Cricetulus griseus: one gene and its partners. The main gene of each other region encodes a partner of the protein of the gene in region 3 in a complex. Links are inferred from orthologs where the notes say so. Each region holds a gene or a part of one and is shown on either strand. Other genes may lie near its edges. The genes, in order: Ap3s1, Ap3m1, Ap3d1 and Arf1.

What was found.
Region 1: the proteins of Ap3d1 (region 3) and Ap3s1 are in contact, whole or in part, in a cryo-EM structure (PDB 9C5C), measured with the Homo sapiens proteins. The link is inferred for Cricetulus griseus from reciprocal best matches to the Homo sapiens genes AP3D1 and AP3S1. Residues at the interface, in NP_003929.4 of Homo sapiens: Leu18, Gln19, Val22, Arg26, Cys60, Thr63, Tyr64, Gln66, Met67, Leu68, Gly69, Tyr70, Asp71, Ile72, Ser73, Lys87, Phe88, Thr89, Arg92, Ile93, Leu96, Gln100, His103, Tyr126, Leu132, Thr133, Ser136, Tyr161, Lys164, Lys165; in NP_001275.1 of Homo sapiens: Met1, Lys13, Pro14, Arg15, Leu16, Ser17, Lys18, Phe19, Pro22, Tyr23, Glu25, Asp26, Gln28, Gln29, Arg42, Asp43, Glu44, Asn45, Val46, Cys47, Asn48, Phe49, Ser80, Glu81, Ser82, Glu83, Leu84, Gly85, Leu87, Asp88.
Region 2: the proteins of Ap3d1 (region 3) and Ap3m1 are in contact, whole or in part, in a cryo-EM structure (PDB 9C5C), measured with the Homo sapiens proteins. The link is inferred for Cricetulus griseus from reciprocal best matches to the Homo sapiens genes AP3D1 and AP3M1. Residues at the interface, in NP_003929.4 of Homo sapiens: Lys29, Glu388, Gly389, Thr390, Thr391, Arg393, Glu429, Arg432; in NP_001307192.1 of Homo sapiens: Ser25, Ser27, Asp30, Tyr31, Glu34, Pro52, Asp104.
Region 4: the proteins of Ap3d1 (region 3) and Arf1 are in contact, whole or in part, in a cryo-EM structure (PDB 9C5B), measured with the Homo sapiens proteins. The link is inferred for Cricetulus griseus from reciprocal best matches to the Homo sapiens genes AP3D1 and ARF1. Residues at the interface, in NP_003929.4 of Homo sapiens: Lys48, Asp50, Phe77, Ile80, Glu81, Ser84, Asp107, Met110, Leu111, Thr112, Thr113, Asn114, Gln115, Arg117, Lys118; in NP_001019397.1 of Homo sapiens: Tyr35, Ile46, Pro47, Thr48, Ile49, Gly50, Phe51, Asn52, Val53, Glu54, Trp66, Lys73, Ile74, Leu77, His80, Tyr81, Gln83, Asn84.

What each region holds. Positions count from the first base shown.
Region 1 is NC_048595.1:191,305,721-191,311,175, reverse strand, and holds part of Ap3s1 (AP-3 complex subunit sigma-1), read left to right. Parts: intron 1-3,355; coding exon 3,356-3,467; intron 3,468-5,455. UniProt on the Homo sapiens protein: Part of the AP-3 complex, an adaptor-related complex which is not clathrin-associated. The complex is associated with the Golgi region as well as more peripheral structures.
Region 2 is NW_023276807.1:199,929,952-199,935,887, reverse strand, and holds the start of Ap3m1 (AP-3 complex subunit mu-1), read right to left. Parts: upstream 3,936-5,936; 5' UTR 3,932-3,935; coding exon 3,899-3,931; intron 3,848-3,898; exon of another isoform or gene 3,584-3,847; intron 1-3,583. UniProt on the Homo sapiens protein: Part of the AP-3 complex, an adaptor-related complex which is not clathrin-associated. The complex is associated with the Golgi region as well as more peripheral structures.
Region 3 is NC_048598.1:101,499,628-101,505,082, forward strand, and holds part of Ap3d1 (AP-3 complex subunit delta-1), read right to left. Parts: intron 5,020-5,455; coding exon 4,971-5,019; intron 3,088-4,970; coding exon 2,942-3,087; intron 2,643-2,941; coding exon 2,263-2,642; intron 1,299-2,262; coding exon 1,067-1,298; intron 19-1,066; coding exon 1-18. UniProt on the Homo sapiens protein: Part of the AP-3 complex, an adaptor-related complex which is not clathrin-associated. The complex is associated with the Golgi region as well as more peripheral structures.
Region 4 is NC_048600.1:73,285,108-73,291,338, forward strand, and holds the start of Arf1 (ADP-ribosylation factor 1), read right to left. Parts: upstream 3,631-6,231; 5' UTR 3,490-3,630; intron 1-3,489. UniProt on the Homo sapiens protein: Small GTPase involved in protein trafficking between different compartments. Modulates vesicle budding and uncoating within the Golgi complex. In its GTP-bound form, triggers the recruitment of coatomer proteins to the Golgi membrane.

The DNA of each region.
Region 1 (5,455 bases), on a different chromosome or scaffold from region 3:
AACCAATTTATGATGGAAATCTCTCATTATAACTAAATTAGGTAAATTAATTGCTGTCATTGTTAGGTATAACTGAATAGTCTTTGTAAAAATTTCCCTCTCCCAGTCTTAGTCCTTTTCCCCAATTTCTTGTGTATTCTTCTAGAAACTGCACTTTGTATTTCCTGACATATAAAAATGTAACCTTAAAATATTTTACTATTAGATCACAATGTTCTTTTTCATGTTGCTTTTTTGCTTAATATTTTGTAAAATTTTGCCTGTAAGTACATCTGGAGAAATGGAACTTAACTAGTAAAGGTGCTGGCTGCTAACCCTGATGACCTGAATGTGATCTCTAGGACCTACACAGTATAAGGAGAGAACTTATTCCCGAAAATTGTCATGTGACATATGTATATTCACATACACAAATAAATAAATGTAACACATTTTTTAAAAACTTGAAACATCATTCTTTCTAATGATGAAATTCTTAGGGTGAATGCACCCTAAGGTAAAAATTCAGATTGTATCCTTTATTTTGTTATAAACAAAGTCAATAGTCCATTTTTCAAATTTATCTATTTACCTAATATATCCCTAGTATAGATTCAGCCAGTGGATGTTTCTATTTTTAAAATGAAAAAATTAGTTTGCAAACTAAACAAATACTGTAAATCTTTCTTTTTTCCTTTTCATTGTTTGCTGTGTTGGGAATTAAACCCAAGGCTTTGTGCATAGGAGGCAGGTGCTTTCCTACTGAGGTGCATCCCAAACTCTAAATAAATACTTTAAATGAATGGGTTCTATTGAAAGCAGTTTACCTCCAAATATTTCCATAAATGCTTCCTCCCCAGTTACATAATTAATATACTTAATATTGTCTCATTGAGAATTAAAACTAAATACCAGTAAAGCCTCATGAATGGTAAGGTGCATATTATAAAAAAAAAAAATGTCAGGGCAACAGAACCCATTTTTGTCTGACCAAATGGTTTTTTTTTTTTAATCATGTGGAAAGTTTATTTGCATTTTAGCAGAGAATTTGTCTTTATTTGCATTTTCAACATGTTATATCATGCTGCACTTAAAATATGTAATGCATATTTATGATTTGTAGATTTTGGTGTTAACCCCCTCCAGACTCTAAATGACAAAGGCAGCCACTTGTTCTGCTTCTGTTAAACCTCTGTAGGAATCTGGTCATCTTTGCCACAGCTTCTCACCTCGTATAGTGTGTTGCATGTGGTAGAATGGTGAGGACCAGAGTGATATAAAGAGGGCCCTGTTTGGATGGAAATTATGCTTTGAAATTGAGATTTTTTCCTAACCATATAAAAAATGAGAAACAACTGCTGTGCCAGAGATGATGCTACCCATCTATCTTCATTGTAGTTTTGAACCTGGCTAGCCAGTTCCCTTGGCCAGATTGTTCAAACTCTTGGAAGTTCATTTCTCCTTGAAATATTAGGTCTAAGAACATATCAAAAATTATAAATTTCTGTTTATAAAATTTTACATGCTGTTTTTCACTTCTATACTGTCTAGTGTTTTTTTTTTTTGTGAACTTGACACAAACTAGAGTCATCAAAGAGGAGAGAGCCTTAATTGAGAAAATGCCTCCATAAGATCTAGCTGTAAGGCTTTTTCTTAGTGATCAGTGTGGGAGGCCCAGCACACTCTGGGTGGTGCTGTTCCTGGGCTGTGGTCCTGATTTCTATAAGAAAGCAGGCTGAGCAAGTCATGGGTAGCAAGTAAGCCAGTAAGCAGCATTCCTCCATGGCCTCTGTATCAGTTCCTGCCTCCAGGATCCTGCCCTGTCCTGAGTTCCTGTCATGACTCCCTTTAGTGAAGGACTTCTATGTGGAAATGTAAGCCAAGTTAACCCTTTCCTCCCTGGCTTGGTTTTTCATCATAGCAATAGAAACTCTAACTTAAGACAATTTCCTACAAGAATTTGTATCAGAATTAGACTAGTTTAAAGTGAATTTATGTTTTCAAGGCCAACTATGTCCTTGCCTTTCAGAGGTCTTTGAGCGTTAATCTACTTTGTAACCCATTTTTCAGAAGCATGATATTTTAAAGCAAAACAAAAGACAACCTACAGTGAAACTGCTGCTTATTTCGCCCCTTCAGGGAACAGTTTTAACTTTTGTTATAACCAGTCTCAGAATGTTTAAAGTGTACATACAGACTTTTAAATTAAATCCTCTCCAGACAAGTAACCTAGCATAGTAAGAGTCCTTCATTTTTCCCCACCAAGATCATTTGTTTTTGCTCTTATGGGACAAGGAAGTAGTATGTACTTAAGAGAAGCAGTTTCTATAGAGCTTGTAATTTTATTGTTATATTTATGGAATAAGAAAAATGCCACACCCTATATTGTTGTGAATGCTCCCTTAGTTTGATTGTATTTAGGCTGGTTTTAAATTATGTTAATGTTGAAGTGGTCTTGAGAAGGTGAATTTGGTATTATAAACGACTATTATACAGCTAAAGTGTATTTGGAGAAATATAAGATGCCTCAGATGATTCCTAAATTATTCTTTTAAAAATGCTGAATTCTAATCAATATGAATAAAAGTATTTGATGAAAGAATTGAGTATTCATTGGCCCAGTGTTCTTACATTTAGATTTAAGAACAATGTTTTTGGAGAGCATCTTAATGCTAAGTCTGTCTGAAACTTAAGAAATACTCTTATTTTTTTTTCTAGCTGATAATCAGTCTAGCTGTGTATTTTACTGTGACCTATGAAGTTACATCTTGTAAGCACTTGCACATGCTCTGTGATCTGTTTTTTTTGCCTGTTCCTTCAGCATTATTGTTTACTAATCTATACTTGTCTACTGGCCTCTTGTCTCCTTGAAAGTGCATATTGTTTTGATAATGGCCCTTTTCAGCCATTGCTACTTTACCCCACGATACTCCTCTCTTCATTTTTCTGTGGCCCACCCGTAATGATTAGATGTCAATCTAAATGTTTCTCTCTCTCCCTCTCTCTCTTTCTCTCTCTCTCAGTGTTCATTCTGAAGTGCAAAATCCATGGATATGCCAGACCTGTCTTGGTTCTCTGTGTGACACCTTCCCCTACCTGTTAACTTTCTTGTCTCTTTACTTGCTATCAGTGACACACCATACTTACTCAGTAAATACTTTAGTGAATAACTAACTAAAATTTAGTACTGGCTTTTTTACTTGTAATTTCTGAAGAAAATTGCTGTTTTAATTTACTTAGCTTCTAAAATTTACTTGAATGCTATGCCATTGTTACATTTTGTTTTCTAAAAGGTTTTAACAAATGTAATTTTGCTTGAGCTAATGAAATGGTCTGCATTTGGTCCCTACACCATTTTAATTGTTTTGTCATTTAGATTAATTGGAGGATCTGACAACAAACTGATTTATAGACATTATGCAACACTATATTTTGTCTTCTGTGTGGATTCCTCAGAAAGTGAACTTGGCATTTTAGATCTAATTCAGGTAAGTTAACAGTTGCATCTAAGCTACCTTTAGTTTTTTTTTTTATTATATTTTTATAAACTTAAGTTTAAAACTTTATAAAAAAAACGTGTTTTGTTTGATAAGAAGTGTTCCATAGTTGATAGGAGGTGGGTATGCTGTGACCTATTGCCTGACATAAGTCATGTTAGAAGAAAGGTTTATTTTGGTTCACAGTTCTGGAAGTTTCATCCTGCCAGTTGATCCCATTGCATCTAAGTCCACAGCAAAGCAGTACCCTAGTAGAAAAGCATGGCAGAGGAATACTGCTGTCCTGGGAAGCAGAAGGGCCAGGGACAAGATAAATATTTCAGAATCACCTCCAGTGGCCCCCTTCCTCCAACTAGGTTCCACCTCCTGATAACTTGTTTAGCTATGAACTTGTAAGTGGATTAATTCACCTAGAAAGACAGTACCTTCATGATCCATATCAAGGATGTAGAAACTAGTCTGACTAGAACTAATTAGAACTAATTTCATCTGACCCTAAAGACTTAACTCTCCTAGTCTCCTGAAAAGCTTTTGTAATGTCCATAGAACTCAAGGTTAGTTATAAGAAAATGGACATTTTGTTTTTATTTTTTGGCTTTTCAAGGCATGGTTTCTCTGTGTAGCAGCCCTAACTGTCCTGGAACTAACTTTGTAGACCAGGCTGGGCTCAAACTCACAAAGATCTGCCTGTCTCTGCCTCCTGAGTACTTGGATAAAAGGTGTGCAACACCACGGCCTGGCCAAAAAATGGATATTTTGAACCTCACATGTTAATACTACTTCAGTTCTTTAAGTCTTGCTTTGTCATTGACTTCAACCTTCACAAGTAACAGATTGTGTGTGTGTGTGTGTGTGTATGTGTGTTTGCTTTTTCATATTATTGAATCTAGAGATGTATTTGTTTCTTCCAGAATATTTTCTTTTAAAACATCTCTAGATTTCATGTTATCAGACTTGTCTTCCTCCTACATATTTAGTTGTAGTCATCAGGATTTTGTCAGCATCTGTCAAGGGTTTGAGATTTTCCTCCATTTGCAAGCTGACCTACAGTATAAAGGATGGCTGTAGAAGATGGGGCAGAAGACTTCTTGCATTACTAACAACAAAAGCATTATCCACAAAACACACCAAACCATGCTAACATTTGTCTGCACTAGTTCTCAGTCTCAGAAGGGTGCTGTGAAGGAGCCAGGTGATGCCTGCACCCTAGTAGCTCATCACACAGGTGGGGGATCCCAAGCTTAAGGAGCTGAAATTCTATATAATGGGTAAATCATGACTGCTCTGGGAAGGATGAGATTATCTTTAAGGGAAAAGGTGAACTTGTCATTTTCTTTGGAGGAAAACACTATTTTTTCCCAGGCTGTTTGTCAGTGTGACAGATTTGAAAAGATAGTCCAAGACAGATAGCAATTATCTCTATTCACAAGATTGTAGAAACCTAAAATCTGTAGATTTTTCAGAGTTGTTTTCTACTCACTGGCATTCAGAACAAGAGTGAATGTGTGAAAGTTCTTGGGGACTTCGGTGTTCCCATGTACAACATTCAGTAGCCTTATGTCTTCAAAACTGGAACTACAATCCTTCAGAGTTTGCCTTCTGCTCCAGCTATCTGTTCATGTGTAGACTGTGTTTTCATACAAGCTCAAATCAGCCTGTCAGTTCAGTCTCAGTTTCTTCTTTCAGCCACCTTCACATTTTTCCATGTTTGTTTCTCTTACTCTGGGTCCCTCAGGTTTTAACATCTGGCATGGTTTTCATTCTCCCTGATCCTACCTGGGTCTCACTTGTCTTTATTCAGTTTAGATTCTATGTGTAGTCCAAGAGTGCATAGCCTTCTATGCACCTAATTCCTGGCCTGTGCTCATACGTTTGAAAGTGTGTAGAAAACAGTCATATTTGCTGCTCCCTTTAGATCACTGATCTCAGGAAGTCCTTAGTGCTGGCCACTGAACATAGTTTATCTCTGTGGTCTGGTT
Region 2 (5,936 bases), on a different chromosome or scaffold from region 3:
ACCCTCTTCAACAAACTGTTCTTTGTTTTATTTGGGGATATGAGGATGAGCAAAAAATTTCTAAACTTACATTATTCAGTTGCAAATATAAATATAGTAAAAAAAAAATTCTACGATAGGGACAATACAGTGAGCTACAGGAATCTTCAAGGTATAGAGAGGTACAAGAGAACACATGAAAGAAATCCAAAACAAATTTTGCAACTCTTAAGGTTGAAGAAGTGCTGGGATGAAAGGTAAAGATATGTAAACAGCCACTGGTCATGGGCCAGGCTAGCCTTGGTTGTTGTTCTCAGTGTAATGTAATTTCCCAATTTTATTTTTTATTTTGAGGGGAAATATTCAAATCTGATTTACATTTCTAGAGAGATTAAGCTAAGTACACTATGGAAATTGAGTTACAAGGCACTGACTTATGTAACACCAGTTAAGATGTGTGATAGTGGGGCTGAATGACTTGCCAGTTCAGAGAACTGGCAGCCCTTCCAGAGGCTCAAGGTTTGACTCCCAGCACCCTTACAACTAGTGGTTCTCAATCCTCCTAATGCTGCCACCCCTTAAAACACATGTTGTGGTAACCCCAATCATAAAATTATTTTTGTTGTTACTTCATAACTGTAATTTTGCTACTGTTATGAATCATAATGTAAAGATGTGTTTTCCAATGGTCTTAGACCACCTCCCCCAAAGGGGTGGCAACTCACAGGTTGAGAACCACTGTCTGTTACTCTAGTCCCCAGGGGTTCAATGTCCTCTTCTGGACTTTACAGGCATTGTACTCACATGGTGTACTATATAAATGCATACATAGCATATGTATCACACACACACACACACACACACACACACACACACACACACACACACGAGATGAGCAACAGTAGGGGCCTGGACTAAAAGGTTCACAAGATGGAGTAAAATGAAAAAGAAAAAACAAACAAACAAACAAAAAAAACCAAAAAACGAACAGGCTTTGAGCAAAAATGTATTTAAGTTTGGCTATGTTGTGTAGAAATAAGATGAAATCTGATGTATTAAGACCTAGCCATACATAAATTTGACCCAATTCATAATATATTTGATTCAAATAAGTATATTATTCAATCACTGGATGGTGCTTCAAAAAGACTGGTATGTTGTTAATGGGAATTACAAATATAAGGATTATATACAAAGAAATTATGCACATAGTAAGAAACACACACAAAAGCAAAAACAGTATTTGAGTAGCATGTGAGTCAAGGAAGTGGAACTAAAAACAGACTAAGATGTAGTTGAAGCGGGGAAGAGTTGTGGGAGATTTAGAGTAATTAAAGTATGGTAATGCATTTCCAGAAGAATGGGAGAAAGAGAAGGTACAGAAGACTTAGACTCTGGCTGGGTGTGGTGCCCCACACCTTTACTCCCAACACTCAGGAGGCAGAGAAGGGCCTTGTCTACAAAGTGAGTTCCAGGGTTACACAGAGAAACCACATCTTGGAAATGTCTTGAAAGAAAAAAAATCCTCAGATTCAATTCCTAGCACTACCACCTATGTCAGGCAGAGCCTAACCCCAGCTCCAGGGGATCCATTGTTCTTGATATCCACGGACACTGTACTCATGAGCACATACCCACATGCAAATACACACACAATGAAAAGTAATAAAGATAAATCTCAAAAAAAGTTTTACAATTTTCTTTTCCCTACCAAGGATCTTTTAAAAGTCTAATCTCTTACCCCTCAGTCAGTCACACAGCTCCCTACAAATTGAAGATTTTTTTCATGAATTTAAATGTGTAGTCAAGTGTTGGTTTGTGCATGTAAGTGCAGTGCCCAAGAAGGCCAGTAGATCTCCTGAAGTTGGAGGCACAGTAGAGTAGGATTAAAAACAGTCACTGCTTTTGCAGAGGACCAGAGTTGGGTTCCCAGCACCCATCCTAGGCAGCTCACAACCCATTTTTTTTTTAATTCTAATTTTGTTTTTATGTGTATGCACTTCTGTGAGTATATGCCATGAGAGTTCAGGTGTCTGCAGAGGCCAGAATAGTACATCAGATCCCCTGTTGTTATAGGTGGTTGTGAGTCATCCAATGTGGGTGATAGGAACTGAACTCTACAAGTTCTCTTAATTACTGAGCCATCTCTTCAGCATCATCTTCCAACTCCTGTCACACAAATTTAGAAAAAAATAATATTGTAGTCTCATGCATGAAAAAGTTTTGGTGCCTCACCAAGTAGGTTTTTAAATTTTCTTTAAATTTTTATATGTACAGGTGTTTTGTTTGCATGCATATCTGTGCACTGTGCGTGCGTGCAGTGCCCAAGAAGGCCAAAAGGGTCAGATCCTCTGGGAATGGAGTTACAGATAACTGTTGGCCACAGAGTGCTGGAAATTGAATTTAGGTCCTCTGAAAGTGCAGCCAACTCTCTTAACTGGTGAGCCATCTCTCCTGATTCAAAAAGTAGTATTTTTTGTTTGTTTTTTTTAATCCACACCAAGAATATACGGTTTAAGGCCAAGCGTACATCGGCAATCTTGGTTGAGGTAATTTTAGGGGTAGCTCTGTAGACTGTTGGAAAGGAGACATTGCAGTGTGGTGTTTAGATAGAAGTGGCAAGTAGGTAAAAACAAAGGAGACTGAGATAGCTCATCAGGAAAGAGTGTCTGCTGCCAAGCCCAAGGCCCTGAGTTTGAGTCCCAAGCATCTCATGAAGGAGAGAAGCCAGTCCCAAGAGTTGTCCTCTGACTTCTACATGTTTACTGTGGCATTTAACACACATACAACAAACATAAATGAAAAAAATTTGAAAGAAGGACACTGAGAAGCAGCAGATAATAGCACTGGTAAAATAGGTGAAAGAACTTGTCCTCTCTGAGGAAAAGGGACATTTCCTTCTTTCAATAGAAAGTTAGATTTGTATATTTGGCTGCAAGAAATTCCCTTTTCCTGTGTACTGTGTTTCCAAGTCAAAATCCCAAGTGTTGCAAAACAAACAAACAAAAGAAAAAAAAAAAAAACCACAACCATTTCTTTTCCTTTGAGAAGGCCGGATTTTTACAGTGACCAACTTCTCAACCATGAAGTTAAAGCTTCAGGATCAAACAAATCCACGACTGACAATAAGCCCACCACTCATTACGTTTCCATCTTCCCAGTTTACAGCCCTGTCATCTATCTCACGAGAAGCTGCAACACCCTTCTTACGGTTTTCCCATCCCGGGTTCGCTCACCCAGATGCCACCCTCTAAACAGGACGTTCTTTTAGACTCAGCAGAAGCTTTGCCCTCCAAGGCCAAATCTGGGGGCTGGTGAATTCAAGTCATCGGTATTCCACCTCACTGTAGATAACAAGACCTTTTCCCCCTGCGCCTGGGGTCCAGGGTTCGAGAACCCTACTTGGCAGGTGTGCCGCTCCCTTCCGGCCCAGCTGGCTAGAAAGCCCGGAAGGCCGGGCGTAAGGAGGCCCGGCCCTGGCCCTGGCCGACAGTAGCAGGGACGCCGCTGAAGCCCAGGCTAGTGCCCTGAGCTTGAGCTATGCAGTCTACTCCCCAGCTTTTGAGCGGTCTCCAGCCCGCAGACTCCCCGCCCTCACACTCACCCCGACACCTGGGCGAGTCAGTGATTCGGTGCCGGGTCCTCTCTGGACCGAAGCTGAAGCAGCAGAGAAAGCAGCGAGGACCCCGTGTTCGGGGTGCCCAACAGATTGCCTGACTAGCAGCCTCAGAGACGCCAAGGAGGGCCGCAGGACTAGGAAGATAAAATGGGCGGAAAGGCGTTCAGTGAGAGGAACAATGTCTCCCGAGGTTGAGGATCTGAATCTTCTGCGTTGCTCGAGGTCTGGAAGAACGGGGAGGTTGGCACTCCCTGAGCGCAGGCGCTCACCAGCAGCCTAACTCTGTTTGGGGACCCTTACCGTAGTATTCGAGGCCCTGGATGGACGGGACATCAGATACGCGCAGAGCCAATGGTTATGGACTAGAGAGTCACGGATTGGGCGGGGCTAAAAGGGGCGGGGCTTAGGATAAGGGGCGGTGACGAGTAGAGGGGGCGGAGCCACAGGGCTGAGGGGCGGGACGCGCGATAGTGCCAAACTAGGGTGAGAGTGCGAAGATGGCAGCTGCTGAGGAGCCAAAGCCCAAAAAGCTGAAGGTGGAAGCGCCACAAGCGCTGAGGTGAGAGCCGCCAACGTGGGGAGGAGGGAGACGGCATTTGCGGCGAGCCAAGGCCCACGTGGGCTGGCGCTGCTGCGTGGTGTTTGCGTTCGTGGGGCCAACACGCGGGACCTGCAGCTCGGGGAGTTGCCCTCGTGGCTGCACATTGACCCCTTGGTTTGAACCGTGCTCAGGTGCTTTCCCGGCCCTGGCAGCCATTGACCAATCAGAGCGGCCGGTCCGGGGGCCGAGCCTACCGCTGGCGCCACGTGCGAGTCCTCGCGGGCCGCTCTAGCGCGACCCCAAAGGACTCGTCTGGAGCTGCATCCTGGCCTGGGGTATAGCGGGAAGGAGTCCAGTGCCCCCTGGACCCTGGTGAAAGATAAAATTCTTGGGGTTTTTCGGAAGGCATTGCGGAGGAGTGTTTTCGACCTTCTTTTGGTCACCTCTCTGAAATCATCTTCGGAGACCCCACCCCCCCAAACCGGGACCACAATCCGACTCAGAGACTTTGGCTAGGATAGCATTTGGCTAAATGTTTAGGAAAGTTTTTGTTTGCTTTTCTTTGCATATTTGGCAACAGTGGAGAAAGCGCTCTCCCAACACCTGACACACATGTAATTGATGTTGCAAGTTTCACTTATAAAAAGCCGTTTATGTTAAAAAGCATTTCTTCCTAATAAGTCTAGCGTGTGCAACCTTTGATGCCTTTGAATTGCTCATTGGAAGGCAGTGATTTTTTTCAACCTAAAAATAGACACATCAAGCTGATTTAAAACTGTGAGGCTATTACTGAGACAGATCCCATTTATTTCAACATATCTTTTCCATTCAAAAGAATAATTTGTTCACAGTTGAAAAGAAAAGGTTAGGTAGGGACCTTATATCATGCTCTTGGTGAAATGGGTGATGACCAAATCCTTTCCAGTGGCTTTAAAGTATGGTTACTCTAAAATTCTTAGAGGGTTTTTGTGCGCAAAAACTCTGAGGTTGTTTTATTTTAAATTTTAGATTATCTGTGCCTGTGGGATGGCTCAGTAGATAAGAGTCATTGGCTGCCAAGTCCGATGACCTGAGTTCAGACTCCAGGACCCACGTGCTGGACTTCCGTTGTTCTCTGACCTTCACATGTGGTCCCGCCCCCATTATGTAAATACTGTCTCTTTAGATTTTCTTTTAAAAAGGCAATACTTTATAGATAATAATGATTCATTTTAACAATGCTTACCATCTGTAGTAATGATAAAAAGAAGCTTCTATGAAAGAACGGCAGGGATTATTCATAGTTTACAGGTGAGAATATTGAAGTTCAATTAAGGAAGGGAAATTGGAACCCAGGGTATCAGGATGCAAGTTTATTATTTGATTATAGTGTGTTTACACAATATTTGAGAAATACCTCTGTTTGCTTATGTATGGTTTTTTTTTGTTTGTTTGTTTTGTTTTTTGAGACAGGGTTTCTCTGTATTGCTTAGGAGCCTTTCCTGGAACTCTCTCTGTAGACCAGGCTGGCTTCAAACTCACAGAGATCTGCCTGCCTCTGCCTTCCGTGTGCTGGGATTAAAGGCGTGGGACACCATCGCCCGGCCTATGTATCTTTAAAAAGGTTCTATGGTAATGTTTAACACTTAAATATGTATATGCTAGTTTCTGTTTCTGCATTCTACATCTTTCAACTCAATACCATAACAACCCAATAAAATCATTTCTATTATTATCTCAATTTATCCAAAAAAGGAAACAGGCACATATCTGTCCTTTGTATCTATTTAAAACTTGTAAATAATCTAGATGAATACA
Region 3 (5,455 bases):
CTGCAGGATGCAGGACGCCTAGAGGAGCAACAGCCCAGAGCCAGTTAGCCAGGCAGTCTTGCCCAGAGCCAGTTAGCCAGGCAGGCATCTGAGATGAGGTGCTGGGGCCTGTCCTCTCCATTAGCTCAGCCATAGACCTCATCATGTCTGACCATCTCAGATGGGGAGAGACAAGCCCCACCAATGTCACAACAGGGAGTTCAGCTAATGCCACCTCCTGTGTGACCACCTATAGCCATTTAGTCCTGTGCTGTCTCTAATTCTATAGACACAGCTGTACTAGGCAGCCCTTGCTACCATGCCACACAATCAGTCCCAACTTCAAGGCATGGCTCCGTGTGGGTCCCTACTTCCCACAGGGCTCAGCCTGACCCCAGAGACCTAGCAGAATCCACATGGCATCTGGTTTTCAGTGAGAACCTACGTTACCATGGGGTGCCAGGAGCAGCCTTGCTCACCAGGCCCCACTACCCAGGTGTCAGCCCAGGACCTTGGCCACCTGCTGGGTATGACTCAGTGACAAAGTACATGCCTGAGACACACAGGCAACTGGTTCAAGCACTGTCCCAGAACAAACAAACAAAGGGGTTCACAAACCAACATTCCCAGAAGTAGCAGGGCCTTGCCCACCTCTTAGCCTGGCTCTCAGGCCCATCCACACCACAATCCCTGTTCACACACCCTAAACCTCAGATGGACAGGGCTAGGATAGACTTCAATAACTCCCATCTATTGACTCTGTCTGGAACAAGGACCTAGATGGGGACCAACAGCATCTCCAGACATGGGGGTCCTTGGTAAGTAACACTACCCACCCTGTGAGTCCAGACCCAGCTGGAGGTGTGTGGCAGTAGCTGAGGAATCTTCAGGGGGTACCTTTGTTGGAGGCCCTGCTGCCTGTGAGCTTTGAGGTGTGAGCAGGCCACCCCCCCACTCCAACTTGACACCGTACTAGCCCTGGATGTAGTCACAGGGCATGAGCCATGGCACTATTCACCTTCTCTGACACTGCCCTTTTAAGGTTTAATCTCAACCGTGAGCAAAATCTCCAGCTTGTAGGCCTTACCCGCTCCTGCACCTCCAGGTCGGCACTCTGTACAAACTGCGGCAACCGCTCCACCAGTAGCTGGGTAACCTCCTGTGCAGCCTCAGTGTCGGCAGCCTGCTCCTTCTGCTGCAGGATGGATGCGTACAGCTTTACCACGTTCTGCACATACACAGCCTGAATGTGGCCAGGCAGTGTGGTGACCTTGGGCCGCAGCATGGCCTCCAGGGTTTGCTGGGGTCCCTGTAGGTGCCTGGGGGACAGGGGCTGCATGAGGCTACTGAGCACACTCACAGGCCTATCTCTCAAGGAAGTCAGACCAGAGATGTGGGGGTCTAGGCTTCTCAGCAAAAGCACAAACTTGGGGCACTCACTTTCACTGAGCAGAAGCAGAAAACCAAGAACCATCAATTCCACAAAAAAGGACATGGTTCAAGAAACCATGGCAAATATCTGACAGTCACCAGCAGACACAGATGACCTGTATGGCTCACTTGCTGCCATCAATATTTTTGGTAATGAGCATTTGCCTGATATGAACAAAGTCCTGGGTGCAATTAATTCCCAGCACCACAAAACCAAGGACGCATCAATAAACTTCTCCCAGCATCCATGTGCACTTTGTGGCTGCCTTGCGGGATTCAGAGAGGAGACTCCCCACTGGACCCTCCAAGGAGCACTGATAGGCAGCTCCTGTGGGCTGACTCTAAGGCAATGGGAGGTGCTAAGGAAATGTTGTTACTTTCCCAGTAGATTTCTTTGACAGCCTGGATATTTAACAACAAATCCACATCTGCTCTGGGTCACCGCTGTCGTGTCCTTTAAGCCAGGTATACCAGGGGGCATGGAGTGCTACAGCCATCCCAGTCCACCCACCCACATGCTCCTGGAGCCTGGCATGAGGGCACAGCAGCTGCCCTATGGAGCTCTACCAGGGCAATCTCCGGGCTGGTGGGAGCAGGCCTATCACCACTGTATGGTGAGGCCTGGCTCTGAGGGTGGCAGCTTGCCCAGCTAGGATGACTCTTGAAGCAGAACAGATCTATGAACTAGAGGGCACCCTCTTCACAGCCATGTGACCCCACACCATGAAGGGACAGTCAGTCACTTGGGTGGGGCCACCCAGTAGTAACCAACCATCTTTCAGGCAGAGGGTCTGCCCACATGTCCCCCCACCAGGCCACAGTGGGCCACTTCTAAGGGCTGCACCAACTCACTCCGAGAACTCCCCGCAGATCCAGGCAGCAGCGTAGAGCACCTCACAAATGCCATTGCGCTGGGTGCTGCTGGCCACCAGGTGGGCACTGTCAAGCAGTGCAGACATCTGAGACACAGCAAATTTGCGAATGGCCTTGACGCGGATGGCCACATCCAGCATCTGTGCAGCGATGAGATGGCCGTGGCGGGTACCCTCCAGGCGTGTCAGCTCCACAAGGATGCTGATATACCACTCAAAGTTGGTGATGTGCTGGTAGTTGGACTGGCTGCAGATGTCAATGATCTTGGTAAGCAGCTCATCACGATAGGTGGTGCCCTCAGCCTTATCCACATGGGTCATCAGCTTCTTCACGATCTCCATCAGATTCTTCTTGGACACCTGTGGGGGCAGAGCTGGTTGGTCAGCACAGGTGGATATGTTCAGCCATGAGATGATAGCTGAGATTGAGCTCGTAAGCCCAGGAGGGACAGGTTCTTCCACAGACAGCAGAAGTCACACTGGGTACATTAGTCAGCTTATCATGCATGTCTGACCAAGGGAAGGTGACAGAGGCCCCATTCCCTACAGTAGGACAGGTGCCATCTGCTGACCCCAGTGGCTCAGGCTGCTGTCCCAGCCTGCAGAAGAGTGACTCAGAAGCTTCGAAGGCTCCCCATTCTGGGAACAGGAACACATACCATTCCATAGAGCAGGTCAAGAGCGCGCAGGCGGATAGACTCGTCCTTGTCATCCAGGCATTGCAGGATCAGGTCCTTGTGAGACTGCACGGACTTGGGGTGTGTCTTCAGGATTTTAGACATGGCCAGAAGCCCCAGGTACTTTACTGTGGAGACCAAGTGGCCATTAGTTTGCAGACAGAGTGGAATACCATGGCCAATGGGTGCAATAGGGGAATGTATCGCCACTTCCACCCAGATGGTGTTGCCTGCAGGTGATGGCCGCTTTTGTTATGCCCGCCACCCCAAGAAGCCAAAGTGGAAGCCGTGTCACAGCACGGTCCACAGGCACAGTCCTCTAGGCATAAGGACAAGGCAGGCTCTGAGTCTGGTTCCCAGCACCCACACTGGGTAGCTCTGACTGTAGCTCCAGCTCCAGGATATCAGGTGCCTCCATTTCCACAGGCACTGGCTTTTCCAAGCACAGACCCACACATGAACACATACTTAAGAATGAAAAAACTTATGAAGAATTTGAAAATATGTATATTAAAAAAGAACCCTGCTGGGCTGGGTAGTGGTGCAGGCCGGCATTTGGTGACACACATCTTTAATCCCAGCACTTAGGAGGTAGAGGCAGGAGGATCTCTGTGAGTTCGAGGCCAGCCTGAGTTCCAGGACAGTCAGGGTTACACAGAGAAACCTTGTCTGTGTAACAAAACAAAACAAAACAAAACAAAACAAAACAAAAAAACATAAAACACACAAACAAAACAAAAAACAAAAAAAACCTCAAACAAAACAACAAAGGCATGATGCCTCATGCCTTTAATCCCAGCAAGTTCCAAGACAGCCAGGAGAATACAAAGAAACACAGTCTTGAAAAGCAAAACAAAAGTCAAAAAAAACCCAAACAAGAACCCCAATGATGGTGTGAGGACCTTGCCCACATGTTCTAAAGGTCACTGCTAGAGAAATGATAGAGGCTGCTAGCCCAGTGCAGGGAGAGGCTGCAGAAAAAGCACAGACGACAGCTCTACACTCAGAAGCCTCCTTTGTTACAGATGGCCTAGAGATGCTTTCCAACAGCACTGACTTGAGAACTGCTGAGACCCTGTGGTCTACGCTGAGGGTGGGGAAGTAAGGACTGGACTACAGCAGACACTGGAGGCTCAACCTGCCATCTGGTCTGGGTACAGTAGATGCCACTGACATGGACCCCATTTTGGAGCAGTGTGAGATACAAGGAAGGCAGCAGCAGGTCACTGCATGCTTCCCTGAGGACCAGGCAGATGCTAGCCAGAGGCCTCTGGACCTGAACCCTGGCTCTCCCCCTCCCCCTCTCAAGTGCTACAATAACAGGTGTGTACCCGCATACTATGCCTCCCTTTCCTTCAAATGAAAAACAATCACATTTATTTGTTTGGGATGTGCGTCAAGATCAGAAGACCATTTGTAGGAGTCATTTCTCTTCCCACCACATGGGATCAGGGAAGGAGTCAGGGCATCCATCAGGATGGTGACAAACCCCTTTATCTACTGAGCCATCTCACCAGCCCTCTTGTTTTATTTTCAGATGGGTCATGCTGTGGAACCAGGCTGGCCCTGAACTCCTGACTCTCCTGCCTCAGCCTCCTGCTTGCTAAAATGCAGCTGTGGCCTCAGGCACAGACCTTACAGTATTTACTTTATTTCTGAGACAAGCTTTGAACTCATTAGGGAGCTAAACATGACCTTGAAGCCTGTGGCCCACACCTGGTTTCTGAGTGCAGGTAGGTCTGGGACCTAAGGTCTGGCACACTAGTGTGCTCAAGCAACTAAGCTTGAGCCTCCTAAATCATCTTCATGTTTGGTGTCTCCACATTGCTCAGCACAGATCCCATCTTTCAGGGTGCCTCCCCCCCATGGTGACAGCCAGCACTCAACCCACAAAACCATCATGCTGGAAAGCATAAGGACAGCAAAAGGGCAGAGGGCCCCCAGGTACGGGGTTTACGAATCCCAGGCATGGTGTTCAAGTGTGGCTGCTTGGTAGGTGGCGGTGACTTACAGTTCTGGTCTGAGTCTTCTATCAATATCCTCAACTTCTGAACGCAGAGCTGAGGAGGAATGTCACAATGATCATGTCTTCCCAGGCAGGACTCAAGTTGATCTCCATCCACCCCACCACCATGCCCTGCAGCCTGCTACCAGCCCTGACCAAAGGCATGCATCTGGGTACAGGCAGGGCAGGTGACTGCTGCCTTCTCACTGGGGGCCCTGATCAGTATGACAGAATGGATCTGCAGGTGCCAGTGAGGGCAAGTGGGGGCATCCCATGTTCAGAGCAGCTGCCCAGGCACACTGCATTTGGTCCCCAAAGGGCAGGTGGAGGTGCATTGGGGAAAGGGAAAGGAGTGCCTAAGGAGGGTTGGGCTAGAGGACTTCCTTTATATTTCAGCTGTGGGAGAAAAACGAACTTGGAGGTAATCACAATGGTTTCCCAACTGGCTGAGGAGCCCTGGGGCCTGGCCACCCGTAAGACCCAGTTTTGCT
Region 4 (6,231 bases), on a different chromosome or scaffold from region 3:
TGCCTTCATTCTCATTCTTCAGCAATGACTCTCACTAAAATCTAGAAACCCTTTTCAACCCTTTTCTTGGAAACAAGCACCTAAATCATACCAACAGAATTTTAAAAAGGGGGTGGAGAGGAAGAAAGAAAGAAAAACTTGTCAGAGGACACATAGAGAATCTGGGCCACAAACTTCCCTGTTTCAGTATAAGCCATTGCAAAAATATTTTGACAACTGATACTGACAAAAAGTTATTGTTTAACATACAGCCATCAAGCACAAGGAGCCTGTTGGAAAGAACTAGTTTGCTAGCATCCCTTTAACATGTATACTTACCTCTATAGATACTGATTAAGAAAGTTTCCTTAATAACCAAGTCTCACTCATGCTATACTGCAGTAATTCTCAGATCCTCAGAAATATGGGGAGCTGTTTACCACATAAACTTAATCACCCCCAACTGCTGTCTATAAAAATATGCCTGCCTAGCATGGGGGCACACACCTGTAATCCCAGCAGGCTGTAATCTCTAGAGGCTGGGGCAGGAGTTTAGGGCAAACCTGTACTACAAACTACACAGTCAAACTCTTCCCCATAAACAGCCTATGTTCCTATTTTCTATCAATTCCTCTTACTACTGAAAACGTTCCCTATATCAGGGCCTGCAGGGAGTGCCACTCTTCCTAGTATATTGGCTACTGACAGGCAGCCAAGCCCTGTTACCAATGTGAGTAAAAATTTCAGGGAACAGGACCAGATAAGAATATTGTGGAAGATGGGCCCTAATTAGTATCATCACTTCTTTGTATATGTAGTAGGACAGGGTGGTGAACACCTAAAAGGTCCTACACTAACAAGTAACACCACAAGCTATTACCTGCAATCTGTATCACAATCAATATTGAACATAAACCTCAGTGTGTAGTGAGAAATCCCAATGCGTGTATATGTGTACACACACACACACACAAACACACACACACAGAGAGAGAGAGAGAGAGAGAGAGAGAGAGAGAGAGAGAGAGACAGAGAGACAGAGAGACAGGGGAGATACAGCATACACACAAAAGGAATTTTCATGTTTCTCTCCTCACCATCACTGACAATTTCATGAAGATCAAAAGTCAAAGGGATTCATGAGAGAAAATAGGGATGGACAGACAGACAGACCATGAATGACATAGCAAACTAGAGCAGGCAGGGGTCTGTTGGGCTCCTCAGTGCAAATGACACACATAGACAGCCCTTGTGATTAACAGTAGATTTAAACCTGTACATCAAGCTGAGCAGTGATGGCTTAGGCCTTTAATCCTAGCACTAGGGAGGCAGAGGCAAGCAGATCTCAGAGTTTGAGGCCAGCCTGGTCTACAGAGAGAGAGAGTTCCAAGACAGCCAGGGCTACACAGAGAAACCTTGTCTCAAAATAAAAAAACCCTGCACATTAATGTAACACTTAATTCAAGGAATCTGAAAAACATTGACCCAATACTCTCAAACCATTGTTGACAAGCTATTGCATGAACCTGCACAACAAGTTTTTTCTCTTGGTTAGGTTGCCTGACACTGGGTCGTCACCACAGTAACTGCTGGTCTAAGTTACCTTTACCTTAAAAAAAGAAAAAAATAAATAAAAGGTTGTAGTTTGAATCCTGCCTGGTCCTGGGCTGAGGCAACAACCAAAATGGAACAAAGATCCTCTCTACAAGGAATTACTGTTCAAGAGGTATAGTGGACATCTCAGCTACATGACTTATAACTGTAAATGAGGGGCACAGAACTAGCTATTGCTACCTTCCTTCCAGGATAAGTAGACTGAGTATGAGTCAGCTGTTATTCACAGTTAAACCTTGTGTGTGCAGTGCTAGAGAGCCAAACCATTTATACAAGCTAGGAAAAGCACTCTACCCCTAGCTCTTAAACCTTTCTGAAGTAGCAACTCTACATCTGCCTCACAAGCAAGACAACAGTGTGGTGAACCAGTGAGTCAGACTCATTTTCAACAAGATACCTAGGGATGAAAGCGATAGACATTCCATCAAGAGAAACCTTCATGCCAAGGAGACAATGTAGTTACAACAATGTAGCTCACAAATCTGTGACTGGCCCTTACACCACACAGCTCACAACTCTGGAGAAAACAGAGAAGTCAGAGAGTAACACTCTTCATCAAATCTCACAGTCCAGGCTATGTGAGACAGTGCTGCTGAAAGCTCAAAGGTGAGGACATTACAGGCAGTCACCCATGTCAGGTACTGTAGACACTGGTTAAGACAGAGAAAGGACATGGAGTCAGCACCCAAAGCACCATGGCATCTCACTAGTCTTCTGTTCTACACTCACTGCAGACTCAGCCTGCAGGAAAAACTGCTGACCACTAGTTGTGAAACAAGAACTACAACGGACTACTCCAACATTGGTTGTGGCATCAACTACTGGGCTCTCTGGTGCCTTCTGGGAACAGGAGCAGCTGCCCCTTTCTTTTCCAGCAAAACAGCCACTTGCTGGAAGGGAGAATCCCTCCCACTTAGGTACCATGCAACGGTTCAGCTACATACAGTCCGACACGGCATGGCCACCCTGACTGGACAGCCAGAACTGTACACTGGATCTGGCCTCTTGTTACAAGCAGATTGCTCAGAACCTGGGAGCAGGTTGTTCCACGGCCAGGTTAAAGATTCCCCAACTCAGAAGGGCCTTTCTAATCCACCCAAAGGAGCATCAAGGGGGTCAGTCAAGAGGTAAAACAAGGCTCAACTCCTGCAGAGGCCACCGGGCCCTTGAGTGCAAACCTCAATGAAGATCTCACCAGAAAAGTGTGGGGCACAAATCACGGCTCACTAGGGATCAGAGTGGGCACTTGGGATCCACTGAAATCCGCATATGCGCTTGTTAAATCCAAGCACCCGGTTCAGCAGTCCGGAGCCCCGCTCCACCGGTCCCAGCCCTTCACCTCCTACAGCTCCGGTCCTCCGGGCCGACAGGAACCGGACTCGAGACACAGAGGAGGAAGACCTCGCCACCCGAGTGACCTTGACGCCGTCTGAGGGCCACCCAAGCCTCAGTTTCCCCTACCCCAAGGTCCGTGCCGTATCTGAAGCTTCCGGCTAGCCCTTCTAGAAGGGAGACCCCCCCCCGTACCCCTCGAGCCCTGCTCCCCGTTCCCGAGCTCCCGGGCCGTGGAACCTAGGAGAGGCGCAGAGAGGAACAGCAGGAAACCTGGCTTCCTGGAATGGAGCCGGCGTCCCGGCCGGACTTCCGGGCTGCGGCCCGCGGCTGGCGGCCAGGCGTATGGGCCGCGGAGTGGGGGAGGGCCAAGCGGCCGTGGGCGACGCGGGACTGGGGGAGCCCCGATCCACTGCCCGGCCTGCCGTCAGGTCCGCTAGACAGAGATCCCGGCCCGCCCGACCAGACTCGGCCCTTAGAAGCTTGAACCGAGCGCCCCTCGACGCCCACGATGACCAGCCCGTGGCCTCCCCAGCTTCAGCCCCAACGCGCCCAGCGCCTCACCTCCGCGGCGGCTGCTCCCAGCCAGGCGTTGGTTTCGCTCCCACAAGATGGCGGCGCTGACGGCAGCCACGTCAGCGCCTGCCGCGGGGCACGCCGGGGGAAGAGGGCGGGCACGCCTGAGGCCCCGCCCCTAGATGAATGGCGCTTGCGCGTCTGCACCAAGTAGCCTTCACGGGGCGGGGCCAAAGTCGCTCTGCTTCCGGATCGCGGCCCCGGGCTAGCACACACCGGTTTCCCCGGACTAGAACGCACAAGGGTGTGGTGGGTGGATTTCCGTGTCCATCGACGCGTGCGCACGCGCGCCTTCCTGCGGAATTCCTGCCCATTCCTCGGATGCGGGGGTTGAGGACAGTAAGCGTTCTAGAGCGCCAAGGTCAGAGTGGGAAGGTCGTGTCAGCACTGAGGGGGTGTGATGTTCCTCTCAGAGGTATATTCCAGCTGGCCCTGGGCACTGAAGATAATGATATCACTGACAAGTAGCCAGAGCGGAAAGAGGCGCAGACCAAGTGTCAGATAGGTACCGTGCCCCTACGCTAGCCTTGGCCCTGTGTGCACTCTCAGAGCTGACCCAAAGACTTGTGTGGAGTTAGCACCGCCTGAGAGGGTACTCTAGGTTGCCCCTGATGGGGTGGCCTCCTGAAGGGTGCAGGAGAGGAGGAACCTGTTACATCTCCCTGAGAAGCCTTCCCTGCCTGGTCAGAAGCAGCAGAAATCTGCTTGCCTCCCCATCTATGCAGGAATCAGACCCACGCTCTGTCAGGCCTGTCCAGTTCTTCCACCTCATTTATTGTGAGGAATCCCACAGGCAAGAGATGTTGAGGGACCTAGGGCATTTAAAAAAAAAAAAAAAAAAAAAACCTGGAGCCCTATCTGTTGAATTGGCAGGAGGCACTTCTGTTACATGGGCCTAGATTAATCAATCACACTGTGTCCAGGCATCCTCGCTGTTGTTTGGGGGGTTGAGACCTCCAGAGCTTTCTCTTAAGAGTTGTGGGTGCTAAACTTGTCAGGGTTCTAGGAAATGGTCACCTTCTTGATGCGGTTTCTCTGCATACCCCTGCCTGGCCTTGAACTTAAAGATCCACCTGCCTCTGCCTCCCAAGTGTGGGGACTAAAGGCGTGTGCCACCACTACCGCCTGGCTTTAGACCTCCGGTTTTTAAGTACCACTTCTGTAAGTTTCTATGGAGATAACTGCCTGATCTCCCACCCTCAACACACAGCAAGTATTCATGCAAAGCCTTGGGTGGTGCTAGCTCTTCATTCCCTGGAAAAATGGCAGGACATACCCAGAGGCCTGTGATCCCAGCCATATAAGAAGCCTGTCACAGCCACTTTATAGATGAGAAGACAAAGATACAGAGTGTCAAGGAAAACTACAGATTACTAATCAAGAACAAACCCTTTCTGTTCCTAAAAAGATAAAATTGTGGCAAAATAGATAGGGTGGTAGTCCATCCATTTATCCTAACCTGGCAACTGTACATTCATGCCCCAAAACTCACTATACCCTGTAAATAATTATTTGTGTCCATTAAAAACTTAAATAGCCATTATGGATACTTAATAATGTTCAATGGATGATAGGTTCTTCCCACCTCCCCAGGTCGGGTTTAAACCTCCAGTGAAATTTTCATATTGCACATAAACTTTGAGTGTTGAATCATATATCCAGTTCCAGTGGATCTGACTCCCTCTTCTGGCATCCTTAGGCAACAGGCACTCTTGTGGTATACATACATATTTGTAGGCACTCACATACATAAATAAAATAAATAAATCCAAACTGGAGTTACAGGTGTTTATGAGTTGCCATTTGTATTCTGGGAACCAAACTCAAGGCCTCTACAAGAGCATCAAATAGTCTTATGCACAGAACCATCTCTCCATCCCGAAGTGTATATTAAAAAGGGAATTGGACAACTGAGCTGAAGAGATGGCTCAGCCCTTAAGAGGACATACTTCTCTCACAAAGTACCCAAGTTCCTTTCCCAACTCCCAACTGCCTATAACTCCATTTCTGGGGGATCTGATGCTTCTGACCTCCACAATCATCTGCACTTACACACACATACAATTAAAAAGTATCTTTTAAAAATTGTAACACAGGGGGTCTGGAGAGATAGCTCAGTGGTTAAGAGCACTGCCTGCTCTTCCAAAGGTCCTGAGTTCAATTCCCAGCACATGGTGGCTCACAACCATCTGTAATGAGATTTGGTGCCCTCTTCTGGCCTGCAGGCATACATGCAGGCGGAACACTGTACACATAATAAATAAATCCTTTAAAAAATTGTAAAACGAATAATAAAAGACCCAGTTACAGATATTGAGATTCAAGCTGAAGATCAGAAAAGAAAAGCAGCCAGCCACTAGCTCTTACTCTACCTAGGACTGAAATGGGTGATCCTGTCTCCACGAATCCTCAGAGTGTAACGCAGACTGCACTGCTCTCCACCAAGCTTCAGACTGAAATCCTTTGAGTTCCTGTCTCCTCCTGCCTTATATTCCTTTCTCTGCCCAGCCACATCACTCCTGTCTCTACATCCCTAGTGCTGGGATTAAAGGTGTGTGATCCCAAGTGCTGAGATCACCTTTGTGTGAGCTGTTTTCTCTTTTAGACTAAATCAATTTCATGTAGCTCAGTGTAACCTTGAACAGACAGAGATCTGTCTGCCTCTGTCTCTCTAGTCCTGGGATTAAAGGTGTGTACCACCACTGCCTGGCTCTCTGGCTGTGGCTAGCT